Linked DNA regions of Arabidopsis thaliana. The protein of the gene in region 1 purifies or fractionates together with the protein of each later gene. This does not show direct contact. Each region holds a gene or a part of one and is shown in the gene's direction. Other genes may lie near its edges.

Region 1 (4,632 bases):
GTCTCTTTCTTCGCCAAGTCTCTTTTCTCCTCGTCTCTGCCTAGCCGATAAATTCGCCGTTCTCCATCGGTAAACGCAGCTGAGGAGCTAGATAATTCTCTGATATCTGCGTTACGCCGGTGTGGAAGCAAAATTTAGGTTAATCGGATCTCAATTATGGACGAAGAGGCAGCAAAACCTAGAGACTCCACCGTGAATCAGCAACATCAATACTATTACGGAACGTTTCAAGGCGTTGCGAATTTTCCTACTCCTACTCCACCACCGCAATTTATGCAACCACAGCATCCGATTACTACGTTTCCTGGACATGCTTACCAAAATCTCCAAGGTTTTAAAATCTCTCTATCCCTCTTGTTAATTTTGGATAATTACTTTGTGATTTGTGATTATTTGGTGATTGGAATTGTTAGGTCATGGTGGTGGTGTGAATTATGCTCAAGGATTCCCAGTTGTTGTTCCTGGTAATCATTTCTGGAAAAATCTTCTTTCTTTTCTATATCAATTTGATCAGATACTGAGGGTAGATTTTTGTTGATGTGAGAGTAATGATTCTGGTTATTGTTGTTTTAGATTATACAGTGGTTGAGGTGAGACCAATGATAGAGCATGAACTTCCTTGTTGTGGCTTGGGCATGGGCTGGTTTCTGTAAGTTCCTTGTTATACATTGTCTCGCAATACGAATTCCCATTCTCTGTGTTTTGAATTGCCAAATGCAATTGATTTCTGGTTGTTTTATTCCATGTATAAGATCAAAATTACAGAAGCTTAGGTTTATGGTAGTTGGAAACTCGGTTTATGATCTTTAGGTTTTAGAATGCTATCATAACCAATTTCTTTGATAGTATTAAGTGACAGTTCGTTGTGGAACTAGCTCTAGATTCTGTAACAGAGTCTTCTTTCCTGGAATCTCTTTGTTTCGAGTGAGATTCTAGATGAACTGATTGCCTCTTGGAATCAATATAAAAAGTCTGTGTAAAACCTTCTTGAGGCTTGTCTCTATCCACTAATGTTTAGATTTACAAGAGCATCAAGATTAGCTAATATTCGATAAATGGATTTGTTGGTCATTCAATCTGGATATACTTTGATGAACTCCCTGACACGGAGATACAAGTGCAATCCGCCTTATATGATTCTGTCGTTTAACGAGAGAAAGCTGAAAGCATACATCTTGTGACTTGAAACTCGTTCCAGTTGCTAATTAAAGTTTTTGTTGTCTATGGTCCCAGGTTTATCATGGGCTTCTTGTTCGGTGGGATCCCTTGGTACCTCGGTGCTTTTATTGTTCTAGTCACATCTGTTGATCACCGCGAGAAAGCTGGTTACGTTGCCTGTTCAATCGCAGTGAGTTCCTCTCTCTCATTACATTGTCGTAGAACAACGGCATTGGTCACTCATCTATATTCATCATTGTCTCTCATAATTTCTTTTTCTTTTTATGAATTCTTCCAGTCCGTTGTCTATTTGATTGCCGTCATGCTCGGGATGACTGGGGATATTAACATCTGGTGAAACTACTCCCCAGCCAAAACCAAACTCAATCTTGTATATATATCTACATATATACTCGAAAACGTAGATATATATCAATATCATTTACACCAGTTATTGCTGATTTTAGTGAGTTACAGAAGGGAAATATTTGTAACTTTGTGTTGAATTTTATATCATAACTAAATATTGTATATATGTGGTTGATTCCCTTGGTGGCATATCTATCTATATGTAAAATATTTTGTGATTTGTTTTGACCATTGCTACACAAAAAGTTCCCCAAAAGCTAAATACGTTTTCATGTCTTTCTTTGTGCTTTTCTTCTTCTACTCAACACACTTTATTATTTATAGATCATAGCGAAAAAAAATCCGAATTCAGTAAAATTGATGGTTGATAAAAATCTGTAGAGAATTATAGGCAGTGGGTTGTAAATTTAAAAGGCCCAATGGGCTTTAGCCTGTAGGATCTAGTATTAAATTTTTGAGATTAGGGTTTAAAATTTTCATTCTTTTTAGCTAGGTCATATATAAAAAAAAGCCGCAAGAATAGAGCTTGCGATTATCGGAGGATTCAATCATCGGCGGAGGACGAAAATGAGTGTTATCAGGGTAACATCTCGTTAACTCTAGCCGGAGCTTTAGCTTCTCCTCCTTCCAATTTAGCGCATTGATGTTTCCCGTTTTCTAATTTCGACAAATCTGATCGGAATTTTGTAATTGCAGCTGCACCAGTACCAAGTCGTAGGACGAGCTCTCCCGACGGAGAAAGATGAGCAACCAAAGATTTACAGGATGAAGCTATGGGCAACGAACGAGGTTCTTGCCAAATCCAAGTTCTGGTTAGTTTAATTTTATCATAAATTCTCACCAATTTCATGATGTTTGAATCGTTGTGATATTGAATCGTTTCTTCATGTATGTGTTTTGAATTCAGGTACTACTTAAGGAGGCAAAAGAAGGTGAAGAAGAGTAATGGACAGATGCTAGCCATCAACGAGGTACTTGCTGTAGGATCTGAATTTGATTTGTTCTCGGTAGTAGTCTCTCAGAATTATGGAACATTTTTAGATATTTGGTCTTAACTTGATTGTGTAAAGTGTTTGTGATTCTGTAAAATATTTTGTCGTTCGTGTTGCTTGATTCTTAAAATGACTAATTGGTGTGACAGATCTTTGAGAAGAACCCAACAACGATCAAGAATTTTGGAATCTGGTTGAGATACCAGAGCCGTACAGGTTACCATAACATGTACAAAGAGTACCGTGACACTACTTTGAATGGAGCAGTGGAGCAAATGTACACTGAGATGGCGTCAAGACACAGAGTAAGGTTCCCTTGCATTCAGATTATTAAGACAGCAACAGTCCCAGCCTCTCTCTGCAAGAGGGAAAGCACGAAGCAGTTTCACAACAGCAAGATCAAGTTCCCGTTGGTCTTCAGGAAGGTTAGACCTCCCACCAGAAAGCTCAAGACTACCTTCAAGGCCAACAAGCCTAACTTGTTTATGTAGAACTAGAAGCTCTCTCATTTTTCTATCATAAATTCATAAGGTAATTGACTTTTCATACTTGTTGAGGGATCGAAGTTGCTGGTTTTGGCTTTTTAAAATTTTGTGGGTAGAATCTTGAAGTTTTATGATTCATTCTCTTGGTTTCGATTCTGGCTTTTCTTGTTCATTTTTATTAGTTAGGTTTCCCAATTGTCTGCGTTGATCCCCGTTCTAAAATTTGTTGGACATTGTAGATGTTTTCTTAATCCATGAATACGGTACGATTAGAGCTTAAACTAATATCCTCTTAAAAGAATGTAATTAGAATCTACCATGAAATGAACGAACAACGTGAAGAAGACTAGAGCTTTGGTTTAGACGACTCATATGAGACTACTAGCTCATTAGGACCAAACCCGGACGAACCAATCTAATCGGCTAAAGTGAGTGAACAATCTTTGGATGACTTTATCCCTCTTCTAAACAAAATCAGAAGACAGGCTAAAAAATTACAAAACAACTAAACCTATATGGGCCAAAAGCATATGGGCTTATTTAATACTTGTAGCAGCATTTTTCACACAGTTTAATATGTTACAAAATCTTTCATGACTTATCTTTCATAAAAAAGGGTGAACGACCTGTGTCCCCGTAGAAAGTTTCATATACGCTCATAATTCTACAGAATCCAGACTTCGACTCTAGTCCACACCAAATGAAAGTTCCAAACCTCAGTTCCACGGGTACAATAAACCAACGATAAACCACAAAATTCAAAATTTTGTGGACCGAGGATTTGAACTTTTGATTTAGGGGAACTGAGGTTTGGAACTTTCATTTGGTGTAGATTGGAGTCGAGGTCCGAATTCTGTGGAGTTGTGAGCGTATATGAAACTTCTCATGGGGACACAGGTCGTTCACCTGATAAAAAAAAATAAAAAATTGAAGAGTATTATAGTACTACATAATACTTTTTTCTTTCTGTTTTGATAAGATTTTGTTAAACTCAAAGATGACATCTATTCAAACAAAATATTTCGGTTTCATTAACCCATGACTGGATGTTGTAGAAAATAATAACAATTCATAATGTATAAAAAACAAAAGACAAAAAAAAAACATAATTCTTAAGACTCATAATTAACTAGTGATGATCACAAATGATCTACTAATTAAAATCTTGATTATGGATCATTTGTTATTATTCTCATCATGTCCTCTCTTGATCCTTGAAGCAGCTTCCTCGCACAGTTTCTCATAGAGCTCTTGATGCTTCTCCATCATCTTCTTCACCTCTTCGCGATCCTTCACGTCATTTGGATCCACTTTCCACCACGCATCCTCATTCATGGGCATCATCTCCGCCAATGCAGCCGTCTTCTTTAATTTGACTTCTTCCACCGTTATCTCCTCCACCAATCTATTGTATACTTTGCAAAGCTCTTGAATCTTCGCTTGCTGATGAGCATTCATGACCGATCGTTGCAACGATGATGAAGAAGACGACGAGGCCTCGCCGTTGAGAAACCGCTCTGCCACGGCTTGGAAGGACGGACTGCCGAATGTGTATGGTTTTCCAGAGCAAGAATACCCGAGAAACGCAACTTCAGCACCACAGAGAATGGAAAGCTCACTGAGTTTAG
Region 2 (5,389 bases), 1.2 Mb from region 1:
TTAATGAAACAGTTTTGATGGATTGTGAAAAATCTATTTGACGGGCTCTAAACATTCTTTCCCCTTTTCACCACCCAAGCACTTCTCTGTTTGTCCTTCTGTTAATTGTTTCTGGCTGCAAAAGAATCATCTAGGTTTTGTTTCCTACTTACGTGAACAAGCTCACTCAATTGTTAATAACATGATGGTTGTTGCTGGCTTTGGGCATGATGGATCATAATCTTAGACAGTCAGTATGTGGCTACTCAATTGTTGTCATGATGCTGTTAAAAAAGAAAGAAAGAATATATATGAAACTCTATTGGTTGAACTCATAACCTAATAGTTCAAGTGAATGAAATCATGAAATGATAGCGTACCTAGTTAAACATATTCATTTTATGGGAGGAGGTTAGAAGTTGAGATGATGTTGAGTTCCTAGGCATAGATTCTAACTCCATTTGTGTCTCTTCAAGATTGCAGGTTGCTAAGAGAAAGATCGCCACTCTCTTTAAACACTTTGAGTTAGCGAGAATGTATGTCATTAGTTATTTCTCATCTTCTCTTCCTCCATAGCCTCCCCACCTAAAGATCTGTAAATGAGACAACAAGCATTCGGGAATAGTAGAAGAACTCGGCTGGTTCCATGAAGGTGGGAGACACGTAGAATCCTGATATCAATACATTTGCTATAATGTTAAGTTCATCTATAAACTAGATGCACTTGTGTTTAAGGGGAGGAGGATGGTATACTTACAGTGTCAATCGTAAGAATTTGTAGTTTAGGAGAATTTTGAAGCAAATACATAAGTGGTTCCAACCAATCTACCAAATTGCTTGGAACAAAATAAAACTCCAAGAGCCGAGAGAACTTGATGGTGTTACACCACGCAACCTGTGATTAAAAAAAAATATAACATTAGTTGGCTAAGCAACAAGGAAAAGAAGAGGATCGGAGATATGTAATCGGTACCATTGGCTTGGTCAAATACAAGTACATATGTATGACAGAAGAAAGAGATCTCAGAAACTTGTGATCGGGGTTATGAACATAGCCGAGTTTTGCTATATGAAGGCAAGAAATATTCTCTATCAAGCAATAGTCCAAAACGTTACGTAAGCGTAAAATTTCTAATGCAGGGGAATCTATTACCAAGGATCTATTGAGATCATCATCATCATCCTCCTCTACCTCACCTACGTCAACTTCCTCAACCACACCTTCCTCATCATCCTCTACCTCATCTACATCATCATCATCCTCTACCTCATTTTCCTCTACCACGTCTTCCTCATCCTCTACCCCATCCTTCCGCCGAGTAGTATTATAATGTAACTGTTTCAAGGTAGATACTTTCACGGTAAATTTTGTCAAGTTGTCATCCTTATGTCGATCCACCTTCAGGCAGTTGAGAACAGGGGAGCTTGATAAAAGGCTAACAAGAGATTCTTCGTCTTTGTACACCACAAAGCGAAGACTCAGAGTTAAGAGAGATGGTAGGCGAACAGGGGAAGAAACGTTCACTAGAATCTTGTTGGATAGACTTAAATCAACGAGCGTGTTGCATGTGTAAAGGCACTTAGGAAATCCTGTGGGTTCTGCGGTCCAGAGGAGATTGAAATCTAACTCTTTCACACCTCTATTAACTACGTTCTCAACCCACTTTCCGACATCTACGTCAACAGGACAATGTGGACCGAGTTCCACAACCAAACTATCTAGTTTCGGTGCCTTATGGAGTTGCAATGACTTTTCAATAAACCACCCCACGCTCTCGCTGTCATCTTCTTTGAATTCGAGTCTAGGCACCATCGGCCAGACATAACGCCATCGTTTAGACAAGATTGAAGTGGCGACTGCCTCTTTTGTTGGGACGTGATGCAAGATCTGCAAGAGCAAATCGTTAGGAAAAGCACAGATTCTAGTTTCGTTTATCTGACAACTTTCGGTTTCTGGAACAGTTGATATATGCTCATCGTCGTGTATAATATCCCAAAAAAAAGACCAACAACTTAAGCAACCCATAGATGTGGCCATGTGGGATACCGGATACCTAGCTAGACGCCAATGGAACTTTTTTCTCGTCGCTGGCTGTGACACAAAAGTGAGTCTATATTATAAAGCTTTTTTTCAAAAAAAAACAATTATTATACAAATATTTATTATTTGTTCAAAGAAAAAAAAAAAAAAATATATATATATATATATATATATATTATTAATGCATATAAAAAAAGAAACTAAATTAAAGTTGCCCAATTTTTAAAGTAAAACTGCAATATAGACACACATAAAATATATCAATCGATTCTCATTCTTACATAATTGTTAGTTTTTTCCCTTAAAAATCTAATCATCAAACCAAACAAAATTGTTGAAAATCCAAATTTTCTAGCCTGGTCCTTATATTTCCATTTGTTATTTTGGATGAATTTATTTTCCAATTCCCAATTTTGCCGCCAACCTTGATTAATTTCTCTACTTGGCTTGCTCTAATTGCTTGCACCACGCCCTTGTAAATGTATCGATTATGTTTTTACGTGCCATGAATTTAAATTTTTTGTTGTTACACTATTTGATAAAATAAATTGAATGTGTTTTGACTAAACGGATTATAATACTAATTAATCTTTTTAAAGTTCTACGTATAATTTAATGCATCTATGATTTCTTAAAAAATCAAAATAAAAATTGGTAATAATGTTTCTAGTTTCTGTTCACTACAACATACAAACGATACTTATTCTAATTGCAGCTAATAATAGAATTGGTTTTTACAAGTTGAATTTTTTTTAATTATTTGTACATGGGCCTTTAACTGGAGCATAATTAAAGACCAAAATGAGAAAAGGCCCATATAGTTGTAGTCTTAGTTTAGGTTTGGAGTCTCACCCTTATATTCTTCGTTCCAAACGAAAACCCTAAAAGAGAAAAGGAGGCGAAAATGGTGCAGCGTCTTGTTTACCGGTCGCGACACAGCTACGCCACCAAATCGAACCAGCACCGTATCGTCAAGACTCCAGGTCCCTTTCTTCTTCTTCTTCTTCTTCCTTGATATCTTCAATCTCCTCTGCTTTAGTCTCATAATTCTCTAATCACCGATCTGTTCTTCATAGTGTAATGTGTGTTGGGATTGTTGATTTCAGGAGGTAAATTGGTGTATCAAACCACAAAGAAGAGAGCTAGTGGCCCCAAATGTCCTGTTACTGGCAAGCGTATTCAAGGAGTAAGTCTTCTGATTTCGATTTGGCTTCGTGTGATTTGGTTTACATGGTTCTTGTATCTAGAGTCTTGATTTGAGGTCTAGATAGAGTTAAGAGTTTGAATTTTTTAGGAATTTGATGGCTATGTATAACCAAATCAATCAGATTGAGTGTTTTAGAATGTTTTGAGTATTGATCAGTCTCATTTTTAATGGGCATGTCTTCTTATTTCAAGAAACCATGTTACTTAGTTAATAGTATTGTGCTTATTGACGGTCTTGTGCTGATTAGATAAATCCCACATCAGTACATAACATAAATCATAAGCTAAATTGTCGGTGCCACTTTGTCTTTCAAGTTGTTCCTTGTATTACATAAGGATTTGCTATCCACCTTTGGCATAAATTTTCAGTTTATTCCCAACTATATATGTTTGATTATGCAATGGCATATTCCTTTTGCATTATGTGAATAACTTTGTTTGTTTATTCAGATCCCTCACTTGAGGCCCTCTGAGTACAAGAGGTCAAGATTATCAAGAAACAGGAGGACTGTAAACCGAGCATACGGTGGAGTCTTGTCTGGTTCTGCAGTCAGGGAAAGGTTTGTTGTCCATCTTACTTGAGTCATCTTTCTATTACAATAAATTTGGTGTTCTTTAACGTAATGTTGTTTTTGGATTCCGACAGGATCATTCGGGCATTCCTTGTCGAAGAGCAAAAGATTGTGAAGAAAGTGTTGAAACTCCAAAAGGCTAAGGAGAAAGTAGCCCCCAAGGCTTAAGCTTTTATGTTTTATTCTTCTCTGTTTTGGAATTATGGCTATGTTCAAGTGATAGGACTTGGTGCAGTCATGTGAGGACATCTATGTTACTCGACCAATTTTTAAGCTTTGTATTCTGTTATCAGTTCTTAACTTTGTCGACAATTCTCTTCTCTTCAGTTTTGGAATTGTTGAATTCATCTTTAATGTTCTATTGTTGATGCATATCACATAAGCTGTTGTGATTACCTTCTTGGTTAATATAATATTTCTGAATCTCTCGGAGGCTAAATCAAGCTTGCACTTTAATGTTCTCAGCGTCATGACACAACTATGGAATAGCAATTTTGAGTCTTAAATCTTAACTATGCTTCAATTTTTGGGAATTCTACAACGACAGTCTCGTATGCGATTAATGAAGTCAGCTCCAGAAATAATATACTTACTGGTCTTTATTTTGAATATAGTAAAACTCGATTCAGTTTTTCTCTTGTTCATCTTGACTTACCTCATGCCTTCTTCATTAAAGCAAAGTTGCTTGTGAAAAATAAAAACTCAAGGAAGCATAATTAATAAACGATTTAATTTAGTGAAAGAGAAAGCCTACAAAGAGGAAATACCCTAGCTTGAAAAAAGCAAGCCAAGAAGGCAGAGATGGGAAAATCTATCCACATACATCAGGTTGTACTGGAGAAACAAGCTGGCAAATCGCTATTGATGGACGATAAAGAAGAATAATAACTCTCCAGCAATGTCATGTTCTGTTTCAGGTCTTGATGATGACGATGGTTCTCATTAATTGTTGAAGTGAAATCATCAAACCGAAGTGTGTCGCAATGATCACCAAGATGATCTTCATTGGAACCACGCATGTTCTTCATTATACCATTTCCTTCGAATCCCGTCTCTTGATACTCCTGTGGTAGGCTTACAAGCGGGGGACATTGCTCTTGGGCCAACACTGCGCTGAGGTCGATATGGCTCGTGAATTCTCCCAAGAAGGTCGAATCTGAAGACGTGTTTAGCAGAAACGATGGGATTTCATTTGACGAGGGGAGCCTGGGAAACTGAGGTTGTGTTTCTTGTGTGGCAAGAAAGAGATTTGTGAGGTATTGTTGGTCTAAACATGAAACCGGATTGAAAACGTTGGTGGGTTTGTCGTATGAAGTGAAATCCAAGTAAGAGAAGGGACTTATAGTGGGAACGGATGGAGTTGTACTATTACTAGTTTTGGGAGTGTTCATATTCTCATGGTGAAACTGGAAGTGAGAGCTAGGTTTGAGGATCTTGTCTGAAGAAAAATGGTATGTGTTTGATTGCTTTTGGTTAGACATTGTGTCGGTGCTTGTTTCTGGTGGTAACGAGGAAACAAAAGAGTGAGAGAGAGCTCTTAGGGTCGTTGTGTTGGTCTTTTTGAAGATTCTGCATATAGCCCATGAATCCT
Region 3 (5,321 bases), about 16 Mb from region 1:
TGTGGAACACAAGACGATGATCAGATGGAAAGCTCTCTGGTTTCGATTAGCAAGAGATGCGAGTTTTATTCCGACAACAAAAGTATCGTTGGTTTTGTAGAAGAACCTAAAGCGTTTAGCTTTAAGTTTCATGAGTATTCTGCTATTACTGTTCAGGAGGAGGAGAAGAAGAAGATGGTGAGTTTCTCTGATGAAAAAACGAGTTCCATGGTTTTGGAGAAATCAGAATCAGATGGTTTTATGAAGGAACACGTGAAAGAAGAGATGTTGGTTTATGAGTTCATGAGTTGTGGTGTTTTAAAAGAGTCATTGGTTCACGAGAATCTTGTTGGTGGTGAAGACAACTTGTTTGATGATGATGATGGGTTTATAGAACTAAACCCAAGTTTACAGATTTCAAACTTTGCTTATGGAGAAGAAGAAGAAGAAGAGTTTATACACAGAGAAGAAGAGATGAAAATGGGCTTTGATGAACAAGAAGAGGTATATGATGAGTTTGATGATGGTTCAGATTCAGATGATGATGAGTTTGAGCATAGTGATGTGATTGAGAAGTTGAAAACAGAATTAAGGACTGCAAGGACAGGAGGATTGTGCACTATTCTTGAGGAATCAGAGACTCCATTACAAGAGCTGAAACCACTCAAGATTGAACCAAAACCAGATCAACACAAAGACAGAATTGCTGAAATTCACAAGGTTTACAAGAACTACGCGGTTAAAATGCGAAAACTCGATGTCATCGATTCTCAAACAATGCATTCCATCAGTAAGTCAATCTATTCTCAATTCAATTTTCAATCAATGTTCTTAGCAGACTATTACATCATTAGCAATGACGTATCTACAGAGTCTTAAATTTTTGTCTGATTCCAGCTTTTACTTTGATTGTGAGGACATATTGTTGAAGAATGTCTCTTTCCTTCTTAAATGTTTTCTCAACTACTCAAAAGTGTTAGTTGAGTATATAGTTAACATTTTTGGATTTGATTTAACAGGTTTGCTAAAGCTAAAAGATTCATCTAAACCTAGTAGAAACACTGATAAACCGCCTAAATCGTCTCTGCATCAGAATATATGGCCATTCAAGAAACATACGCTTGAATGTGACCCGAGTGAGAGACTTGTGAAAGAAGCAAGCAGAGACTTTGAGACTGTCTATGTAGGCCAAGTTTGTCTCTCGTGGGAGATGCTTCGATGGCAATACGACAAAGTCTTGGAATTTGATTCACAGGTTACTACTTATCAATACAACTTAGTAGCTGGAGAGTTTCAGTTATTCCAAGTTCTGCTTCAACGGTTTGTGGAGAATGAACCGTTTCAGAACTCCTCTAGAGTTGAGACTTACTTAAAGAACCGTCGCCATTTCCAGAATTTCCTTCAGATTCCACTTGTTAGAGGTAACAAAACATGTTTTCATTATTCTTTATAGTATATACTGAACCTTTCTTGCTAATACCATAATCTGCAAAGTTTTCAGATGACCGTTCTTCGAAGAAGAAATGTAGATATGAAGGAGAATTCGCGGTAAAGACTGAAATGTTGAGAGAGATTATCCGAGAGTCGATGAGTGTTTTCTGGGAGTTTCTTTGTGCAGACAAAGACGAGTTTACTTCAATGATGAAAGTTTCTCACCAAACTCAAGTCTCTCCACAGGATTCTTTAGACCTTGAGCTCTTGACAGATATCAGAACTCATCTCCAAAAGGTATTTAAAAACTTCAAATTCTTGCTCTCATTTTGTCAGATTACATCAATGTTTAACAATTCACTCAAGAACCTGTTCTTGGCCTAATGTAGAAAGAGAAGAAGCTAAAGGAAATACAAAGAAGCCAAAGCTGTATAGTGAAGAAGTTAAAGAAGAATGAATCAAAGAGTAGTATTGGTGTGAAGGATGAATTACTAATAGCTAAAATTGAACTGAGACTGGTTTCAAGAGTGATGTACATGTCGAAACTTACTACTGAGAAGTTACATTGGTGTCAGGAGAAACTTGAAAAGATCAGCTTCAACGGTCGGAAGATTCATATGGAACCATATTTCTCGTTGTTACCTTGTTGAGCCATCTCTGCGTATAGATTAGATCATAGATGTTGGAACAATATGGCTTCATCAGATCCAGGAAGATGTCTTTTTGTTGTTGTTCATATCTTCCTGAGAACAATAGTATATCTAATGAATGATATGTGGTAGCTTAGCGTTTTTCTTTCTCCTCTAATCACCACAACATCTGGAATCACCTCGAAGAACATTTTGAGAACTAGAAGTAAAGTTGATTAACATTTGGTACATGAACACAAATCTTCTTGAACGTTGTTGAACTAGTGATTACTGATTAATGAATAATTAAAGAAAAGACAAACGTTCGAAAGATGGGCCTTTGGGCCAAGTCATATTTGGATTATTATGTAAGCATTAACAAGCCCATAAAATGTCGTCCATTGATGATCATAAGTCAATATGTAATCTGAACCGTCCGATCTAGGGCTTTAGGTGTTGAAGTGAAAAAAGACCCTATATAAAGATAATATAGCTTATAAAGTCTCTTCTCTGCTCCGTCAAGCTGAGGAGGATAAAAACCCTAGGGTGAGTGAGACAGAGAGAAGCGAAAATGGTGCAGCGCCTTGTTTACCGATCACGACACAGTTACGCCACCAAATCCAACCAGCACAGGATCGTCAAAACTCCAGGTCTGTTCTGTTTCTTCAATCGCATATGCTGAAATTCACAAATCTGTATCCATGGATCTATAAGATTTGAAATGTATTGACGTATTGATGATTTGCAGGAGGTAAATTGACGTACCAGACCACTAAGAAGAGAGCTAGTGGACCTAAATGTCCCGTTACCGGCAAGCGTATTCAGGGTGTTAGTATTCTTCAGATTCATATTCTCTCCGATTTGAGTCTAAAGTTACATACTTTGTTTGATTTTGGATTGACCCATTTGATTGTTTTGAGGTTATTCTATTGATTGATGCAAATGTAGTAGTTTAGGTTTGGTTTGTTTGTGCTTATTGACGGTCTTGTGCTGGTTAGATGAATTCAACATCAGTAGATAACTTTATCATAAGCTAAATGTAGTGCCGCTTTGTCTTTTTCAAGTTTTCTCTGTGGAGTAAGCTTTAATCTTGGTGGCAGAAATAGGTAAATCATCTTGGAAACTTTTCACTAGGTTTAGATTTGTTTGTTTTGCCATCTTGATGGTAAATTGTATTAGTTTTAGATTCTGTATTGTATTGATTTCTTCTTGTGCTTATTGACGGTCTTGTGCTGGTTAAGATTAATCCACACCAGTACATAACTTTATCATAAGCTAAATTTAGTGCCGCCTTGTCTTTTCAAGTTTTCTCCTTTTGTATGTAAGGAATCACTTTTATACTTGGTGGCATAAATCTTCAAACATCTTGTAAATTGTTCATAGTTTGGTTTACAGTAATCTTAAAGTTGATGGAGTTGTTTCAGCCATTTTCCTTCAGCATCTAATTTATATCTCTTTGGTTGTTTAGATTCCTCACTTGAGGCCAACTGAGTACAAGAGGTCACGTTTATCAAGAAACAGGAGGACCGTGAACCGTGCTTATGGTGGGGTTTTGTCTGGTTCTGCTGTTAGGGAAAGGTTCGTTCTTGAGTTCAATTTTGTATTTGCTTTGTGCCTTTGTAACCAAAGACAAATCTTAATGGTTGTTCTTGTGTGTTACAGAATCATTCGTGCCTTCCTTGTGGAGGAGCAAAAGATTGTGAAGAAGGTTTTGAAGCTTCAGAAGGCAAAGGAAAAGGTTGCTCCCAAGTGATCTAGACCCTATTAGTTTTTATGTTTTATGGCTCTGTTCTAGCGATAGTACTGGTTGCAGAGAAAAACATTGTGTACTCATCAAAAAATTTAAGCTTTTTTGTATTGGTTTTGGATCTTTGGCTCTGTCTACAATTCGTTTCGGTTTTCGTTTCTTGTTCATGTTGAGTTCACATTTCACGTTTTCAATTCTTACCCCCGAAACTTCCTATTGGTTACAAATGATTTATACTCTTTTTTTCTCTTTTGAGCCTAAAACTTTAACTTCTGCAATATTTGTTACATGAGTGATTATCTATAATAGATGGTTGTGCAAATTTCTTTGGCCTCGTTTATTTTAACCCCCACCAAATTTAGTAGCGTTCTTTCTTAACATCTCCCAAAGCATATCTTTGCCACGATGGAGTGATACTGATTGATTTGTGCCAAAAACATGATTCGTTTACGAACTTAAGCACTTCAATATCATCACAAACTAAAAGAAAACAGAGAATTCGTATTAACTAAGTACTTAGAGACAACAACCTTGTACGTTTATTGGTGATGACTACGAGGATCATCAGAGAACGACAACTTTGGATGATGTAGAGAGTCTTGGAATGGCAAGGAGTTCTTTTAGGATGACAGAATCTTCTTTCTTCACGGAATCATCCAAGCATAGGGTCAGTTTCTTGAGGATGGTTGAATTCTCAAGTAAGTAACTCACTAGTTTCATCTCCATCGCCTCTCCTTTCAATGGCCTTTCTATCTTAACATACTCGAGAGATGATAGGAAACGCCTAGGTCCCGGCAAAATAATATTTTCTCCCTTCTCCTGATAACTAGCAGATTTCTGCATATACCGAGTGAAAGAAACACAAGTTCAAGATATGATAAACTTTCACCATTTTGCATCTTAATAAGAATTTCATGGTTCAATAGACAATACTCACCACGACAAGAGTTTTTAGATTCGGGCAGCTCTCAAGAAAGATTGGCAACATTTCCCACATGTAGCCGTAAAACTCAACACACAAGACAGATAGGTTACGGAATAAGGGTAGTCGTTCACATCTTGAGAAATCATAGATAACCTGTAAGGAAAAAAAAAAGTATCAGGAAAGAATAAAGTTACACATTCAATCAAATAGCAAATTCAACATTGTAGTGTACCTCAAGAGTACTCGAAAAAATGATCATATCTTTAATAGTAGAGATGCCGAGGAGAAAATTACGTATCATAGTTCTCTTTGGTAGATCATCTGGATTAAACTTATTCACGGAACTCAAGTTAAACACAATATCGATATCCGCTTTGACAAGCTTACCGGGTTTATTAAGTATAAAACTTGCAACTCGATGATCACTTAGCCTCAAATACTCAAGCTTGGGAGCATCAATTGAAACAACAAGATCTTCAACCACACCCTCATCACTATCCGCAACATGAGTGAACCTCAACAGAGACTGAGACCGCACACGTAAAACTTCAATCTCATCACAAAAAGACCTCTCAATAGTCAAGCTTTCAAGAACCGGGCATTTCGTAAT
Region 4 (4,247 bases), on another chromosome or scaffold:
CCCTTACATGACTATATATCTTCGTTTGCAAATATCAATCCATATATCATACACATCTACATACCATTTTCATCTACATTTTCAAAGAAAAATCATAATCTGTTCGAATATGAGCCAATACAGTCAAAACCAATATGCAGGTTTGTTTGTTTTTTGAGTCCCTACAAATTAAGCATCATGATCATGTATCATCGTTCATCAATCTCGTCATACATCATATTTCTAGAGTTTTATGGTAACAAAACTAATGTCAAATATGTATAATTAGGAGCTTATCCTACGCCGCCAGTGTCTACCGGTCCATACGTGGCACCGCCACCGCTCGGTTACCCAACGAACGACACGACTCATGCTACGGTGGCTCCTGTCGAGACAAAGTCTAAAGGTGAAGCTGCTGATGGATTCTTGAAAGGCTGGTTAGTCTCTCTTTTTTCTTTTCTTTTTTTCCAATCCTTTGGAAAATTTTAGGACAATTTGTTATTGTGGCTCAACGTAACCGGGACCGCACGTTTGATAAGTTATTGTTTTTTTTTTTGTTAAATGCAGTCTTGCGACCATGTTGGCCTGTTGCGTCCTCGACGCATGCATTTTCTGAGTTCGGAGGAAGCAGTCGATTGTTTATTAAATTTGACACTTCATGCAAATATTTTTCATTGTATTTTGCAAGTAGTTTTTGGGATTCGATTAGCTTATAACATTTGGACCTCCTATTTGTTGATTTAATTATTTATTACTACTTTTTTTATTTTATTACAACTTAGTTTGTAATAGTAAAATTTATTCTACTTTGTGCCCAAAACTGTCAATTGTTGTTCATTTAAATTTCTGGAATTAGATTTAGATACGCTAAATTAAATCACATTTTGCGTTTATATTCCCACCTAATTTGAAACCAGCAATTATTCTTCTTCATAAGAAAACTTTCATGTGCTCTCTCGAAAATAAAGTTTTACTCTAATAACAACACGCACTTTGGACGAGATAAAGCGATTCAAGTAAAATTATTATGGTTCAAACTATTATCTAAGATCCGTTTGTGTAAAACATAACTTCTAATAACATATATATTCTGATCTACTTTTGTTAGTTTTTATTAGTTAATATAAGCGTTAATTATTGTTCTCTCTTTTGCTTAACATGTAAATATTCCCATGGAGAAAGAAGTACACTTTTTGCTTTGAGAAAGAATAAAAAAACTCTTTATTATTACTAAATCAAGAAAAATATAAAACCATGCTGCATTTATCATCATTTTACATATTCTATATATAAGGTTCTCTAATTCGTATACTTTTGTAAATAGAGAACAACGAATTAAAAGACCAAATCGATAGCATCTTACCTTTTTGTTGATATTTATTAAGAGAAAAAATCAACACATTGTTATTCTTCAAGAGAATAAATTTCTGGAGACTTAGCAGTTAATGCAATCTGACCTCACGCGTTTTTTTTTTTTGACCTCACGCGGTTTTACTAAACCGACCTTCGTTTACTTCCCTTACCTCTCTATATATATATCTCTATCTTCATTTGCATATTTCAATTCATTTCATAATCATACACCTCTCTACATTTGTTACTACTTTCTTCTAACTTGTTTTCAAAGAGAAATCACAATCTATCTGTTCCAAGATGAGTCAATACAGCCAAAACCAATCTTCAGGTTTGTATTCTTTTCTTCGTACTAATTTAGCATCAGACCATATGTTTAGTCAATATTCTCATGGTTATAATCATATTTGCAGTTTCATAGTAGTAAGTACTTTTTTAAATGGTAATAAGACTAATGTGAAATATGAATAACTTATAGGAGCTTATCCTACGCCGCCAGTGTCTACCGGCCCTTACGTGGCACCGCCACCGCTAGGTTACCCAACGAACGACACAAGTCATGCCACGGTGGCAACGGTGGAGACAAAGTCCAAGGGTGATGGATTCTTAAAAGGCTGGTTAGTCTTCTTTTTCTAGTATAAACCAGGCATGCACGTTTGGTTAACTATCAAACCGGTTCGGTTATCGTGTGTTGCATTGATTAATTTGTTTTCTTTCATTTTTTGAATGCAGTCTTGCGGCCATGTGTTGTTGTTGTGTCCTCGACGCATGCTTCTGAAGACTTAGATGGTTTATTTTGATTATCTTTGTATTTTGCTTTACCAAAATGATTCGACTAGGTTTATGACATTTGGTACTTCTATTTGTTAATTCATTTCTATATCACTCTTTCTTTTGCATTGTGTAATTTTATAAATTCTTAATATATCGTTTGTTTTCTCTTAGACATCTTCTAAACCACGCTAGATTCACATTTTTGACTTTATTACCGGTTAGTCAACGTGGACTTAAAATCAATTTAATAACACTATATAAGCCAAAGTTATAAACAATTAAAACTCTTGGGGTTAGAATGCAAATAATGAACAAATCGATGCGTATAAATATCTCCCGATAAAGCCCTAGAATCCAAGGAAGCGCCGAGAGAAAGACAGAGAAGAGAGTGACAATGGTGAAATGTATGAAGCCAGGAAAAGCCGTGATCCTTTTACAAGGACGATACACCGGTAAAAAGGCGGTGATCGTGAAATCCTTCGATGACGGTACCGTTGAGAAGAAGTACGGTCACTGTCTCGTCGCCGGATTGAAGAAGTACCCAAGCAAAGTCATTCGCAAGGATTCGGCAAAGAAGACGGCTAAGAAATCGCGCGTGAAATGCTTCTTCAAGGTCATCAATTACCAGCACGTGATGCCTACGCGCTACACTCTTGATTTGGATCTGAAGAACGTTGTCTCCGCCGACGCGATCTCGTCCAAGGATAAGAAAGTGACGGCTCTTAAGGAAGCGAAGGCGAAGTTTGAAGAGAGGTTTAAGACTGGCAAGAACAGATGGTTCTTCACCAAGCTTAGGTTTTGAATTCTACAGTTTTTAATTTTAGTTTTAAAGTTTCAATTTTTATCTACCATGAATTGTTTTTGCTTCTGGTTTAGCTCAAGGTTATGTTTTGTTCTAAATTTCAGTAATATATATTCAATTTTGATGGTTAAAGTTTTAATCTTTCTAGTAACTCTTCATTGTGAGACATTTCTTTCAATCTTGTGGTTAATGAAACACAAATTTATTAAGAAATGAAGAATCAATGTCAGATGATACAACAAGGATTAAAAAAATTCAAGGTGTTTTGGATCTTTTTGCGCATAACCATTGCCTTGATGTTTGGAGATCATCTTCTACGCTCATTGGTACATGCCAGGTTCCATCTTCAGACTCCTGCATCATTCATCAATCAATCATCATCATTAATGCAAAATGCATACGAAAACATTGAGATGGACATAGAAATGTGAGTGTTGACCTGTATAACAATGGAGTATGGAGGTGGCATATTAAGTTTGAGTCCATCTTCTCTAGTGACAGAGATCCGAACCTGCAAACATTGAATCCAGTATCAATCAAAAGCTTATGTATATACATTACATAGACTCTTATATTATATGTTACCTGATGCTTCTCTTTCCACCTTGGGAAGAAACTATTTCCAAGTAACTGGAAGAGATGGTCTCTCATCTCATCGTTTGTTACTAACAAACATTTGCAACTTACCGCAGCGTAAAGCCAATACCTAGAACAATTTGATTTCACATAAGAAATGGTTGTCTTTTTTGGATTATTCATGGTCAATGTAATTCATAGACCCAGAAAAAAAGGCAAATGCAAATACCAATCATCGTTTGAGCCAGGAGGGGTAGCATAGAGAGCACCAGCGTTTTTCCATTTCTCTAGCAAGGCTCTGTTTTTAGGGTATGTAGCTGGACCTCCATTTACACGACTCTTGTGCAGGATCACAAGTGGTAACCTTTTCGACGGGCTTATTTGTTGGCATCTTTGGACAGTGTTGTTAAGCTAGTGGGGAGAGATAAAGAGTCGCATTAGATAAAGTAGTCAAACAATGGTTCTTGAGATTGGCATTAGAATGAGAAAGAGTCAAAACCACCTGGAAGAAGCTGAAACTGCGCTGGTTGACTAAGCCCATGTTGGCTCCATCAATGACTGCATCAAACGGTCCATGTCTTTCCAGCCATTCCTGCAAGCAAAAAACAACAACACATTTCTCAGGTTTTCTTTTAGATAGTTTTAATACAATCTTTTAGACAATAATTGTTACCTGAAACTGATTAAAATTAGCCTTGACTTCTCTTTCACATGCCAATCGGGTCAACGATGCAGCAAAGGTTTCTGTCTCAACCGGATTGAT

What was found.
Region 2: the proteins of AT1G29965 (region 1) and AT1G26880 fractionate together in Arabidopsis thaliana (co-fractionation; one large-scale study listed by BioGRID). This does not show direct contact.
Region 3: the proteins of AT1G29965 (region 1) and RPL34 fractionate together in Arabidopsis thaliana (co-fractionation; one large-scale study listed by BioGRID). This does not show direct contact.
Region 4: the proteins of AT1G29965 (region 1) and AT2G32220 fractionate together in Arabidopsis thaliana (co-fractionation; one large-scale study listed by BioGRID). This does not show direct contact.

What each region holds. Positions count from the first base shown.
Region 1 is NC_003070.9:10,496,836-10,501,467, reverse strand, and holds AT1G29965 (Ribosomal protein L18ae/LX family protein), read left to right. Parts: upstream 1-2,005; 5' UTR 2,006-2,094; coding exon 2,095-2,109; intron 2,110-2,223; coding exon 2,224-2,339; intron 2,340-2,434; coding exon 2,435-2,498; intron 2,499-2,668; coding exon 2,669-3,010; 3' UTR 3,011-3,158; downstream 3,159-4,632. Other genes in the region: RPL18AA (60S ribosomal protein L18A-1), read left to right, coding at 157-331, 414-464, 574-649, 1,234-1,348, 2,224-2,339, 2,435-2,498, 2,669-3,010; AGL64 (AGAMOUS-like 64), read right to left, coding at 4,181-4,632.
Region 2 is NC_003070.9:9,314,217-9,319,605, reverse strand, and holds AT1G26880 (Ribosomal protein L34e superfamily protein), read left to right. Parts: upstream 1-2,725; 5' UTR 2,726-2,924; coding exon 2,925-3,003; intron 3,004-3,126; coding exon 3,127-3,206; intron 3,207-3,444; exon of another isoform or gene 3,445-3,591; intron 3,592-3,676; coding exon 3,677-3,786; coding exon of another isoform or gene 3,787-3,808; exon of another isoform or gene 3,809-3,872; coding exon 3,873-3,966; 3' UTR 3,967-4,301; downstream 4,302-5,389. Other genes in the region: AT1G26890 (FBD, F-box and Leucine Rich Repeat domains containing protein), read right to left, coding at 528-650, 737-874, 953-1,162, 1,229-2,017; FEZ (NAC (No Apical Meristem) domain transcriptional regulator superfamily protein), read right to left, coding at 4,623-5,387.
Region 3 is NC_003070.9:26,187,290-26,192,610, forward strand, and holds RPL34 (ribosomal protein L34), read left to right. Parts: upstream 1-2,485; 5' UTR 2,486-2,610; coding exon 2,611-2,689; intron 2,690-2,787; coding exon 2,788-2,867; intron 2,868-3,007; exon of another isoform or gene 3,008-3,145; intron 3,146-3,313; exon of another isoform or gene 3,314-3,396; intron 3,397-3,507; coding exon 3,508-3,617; intron 3,618-3,701; coding exon 3,702-3,792; 3' UTR 3,793-4,115; downstream 4,116-5,321. Other genes in the region: AT1G69610 (zinc finger FYVE domain protein, putative (DUF1666)), read left to right, coding at 1-769, 999-1,400, 1,481-1,707, 1,800-2,060; AT1G69630 (F-box/RNI-like superfamily protein), read right to left, coding at 4,351-4,623, 4,724-4,864, 4,944-5,321.
Region 4 is NC_003071.7:13,676,445-13,680,691, forward strand, and holds AT2G32220 (Ribosomal L27e protein family), read left to right. Parts: upstream 1-2,465; 5' UTR 2,466-2,500; coding exon 2,501-2,908; 3' UTR 2,909-3,079; downstream 3,080-4,247. Other genes in the region: AT2G32200 (cysteine-rich/transmembrane domain A-like protein), read left to right, coding at 8-140, 269-416, 547-595; AT2G32210 (cysteine-rich/transmembrane domain A-like protein), read left to right, coding at 1,633-1,663, 1,811-1,949, 2,065-2,110; PRORP1 (proteinaceous RNase P 1), read right to left, coding at 3,164-3,262, 3,348-3,419, 3,494-3,614, 3,714-3,895, 3,987-4,076, 4,158-4,247.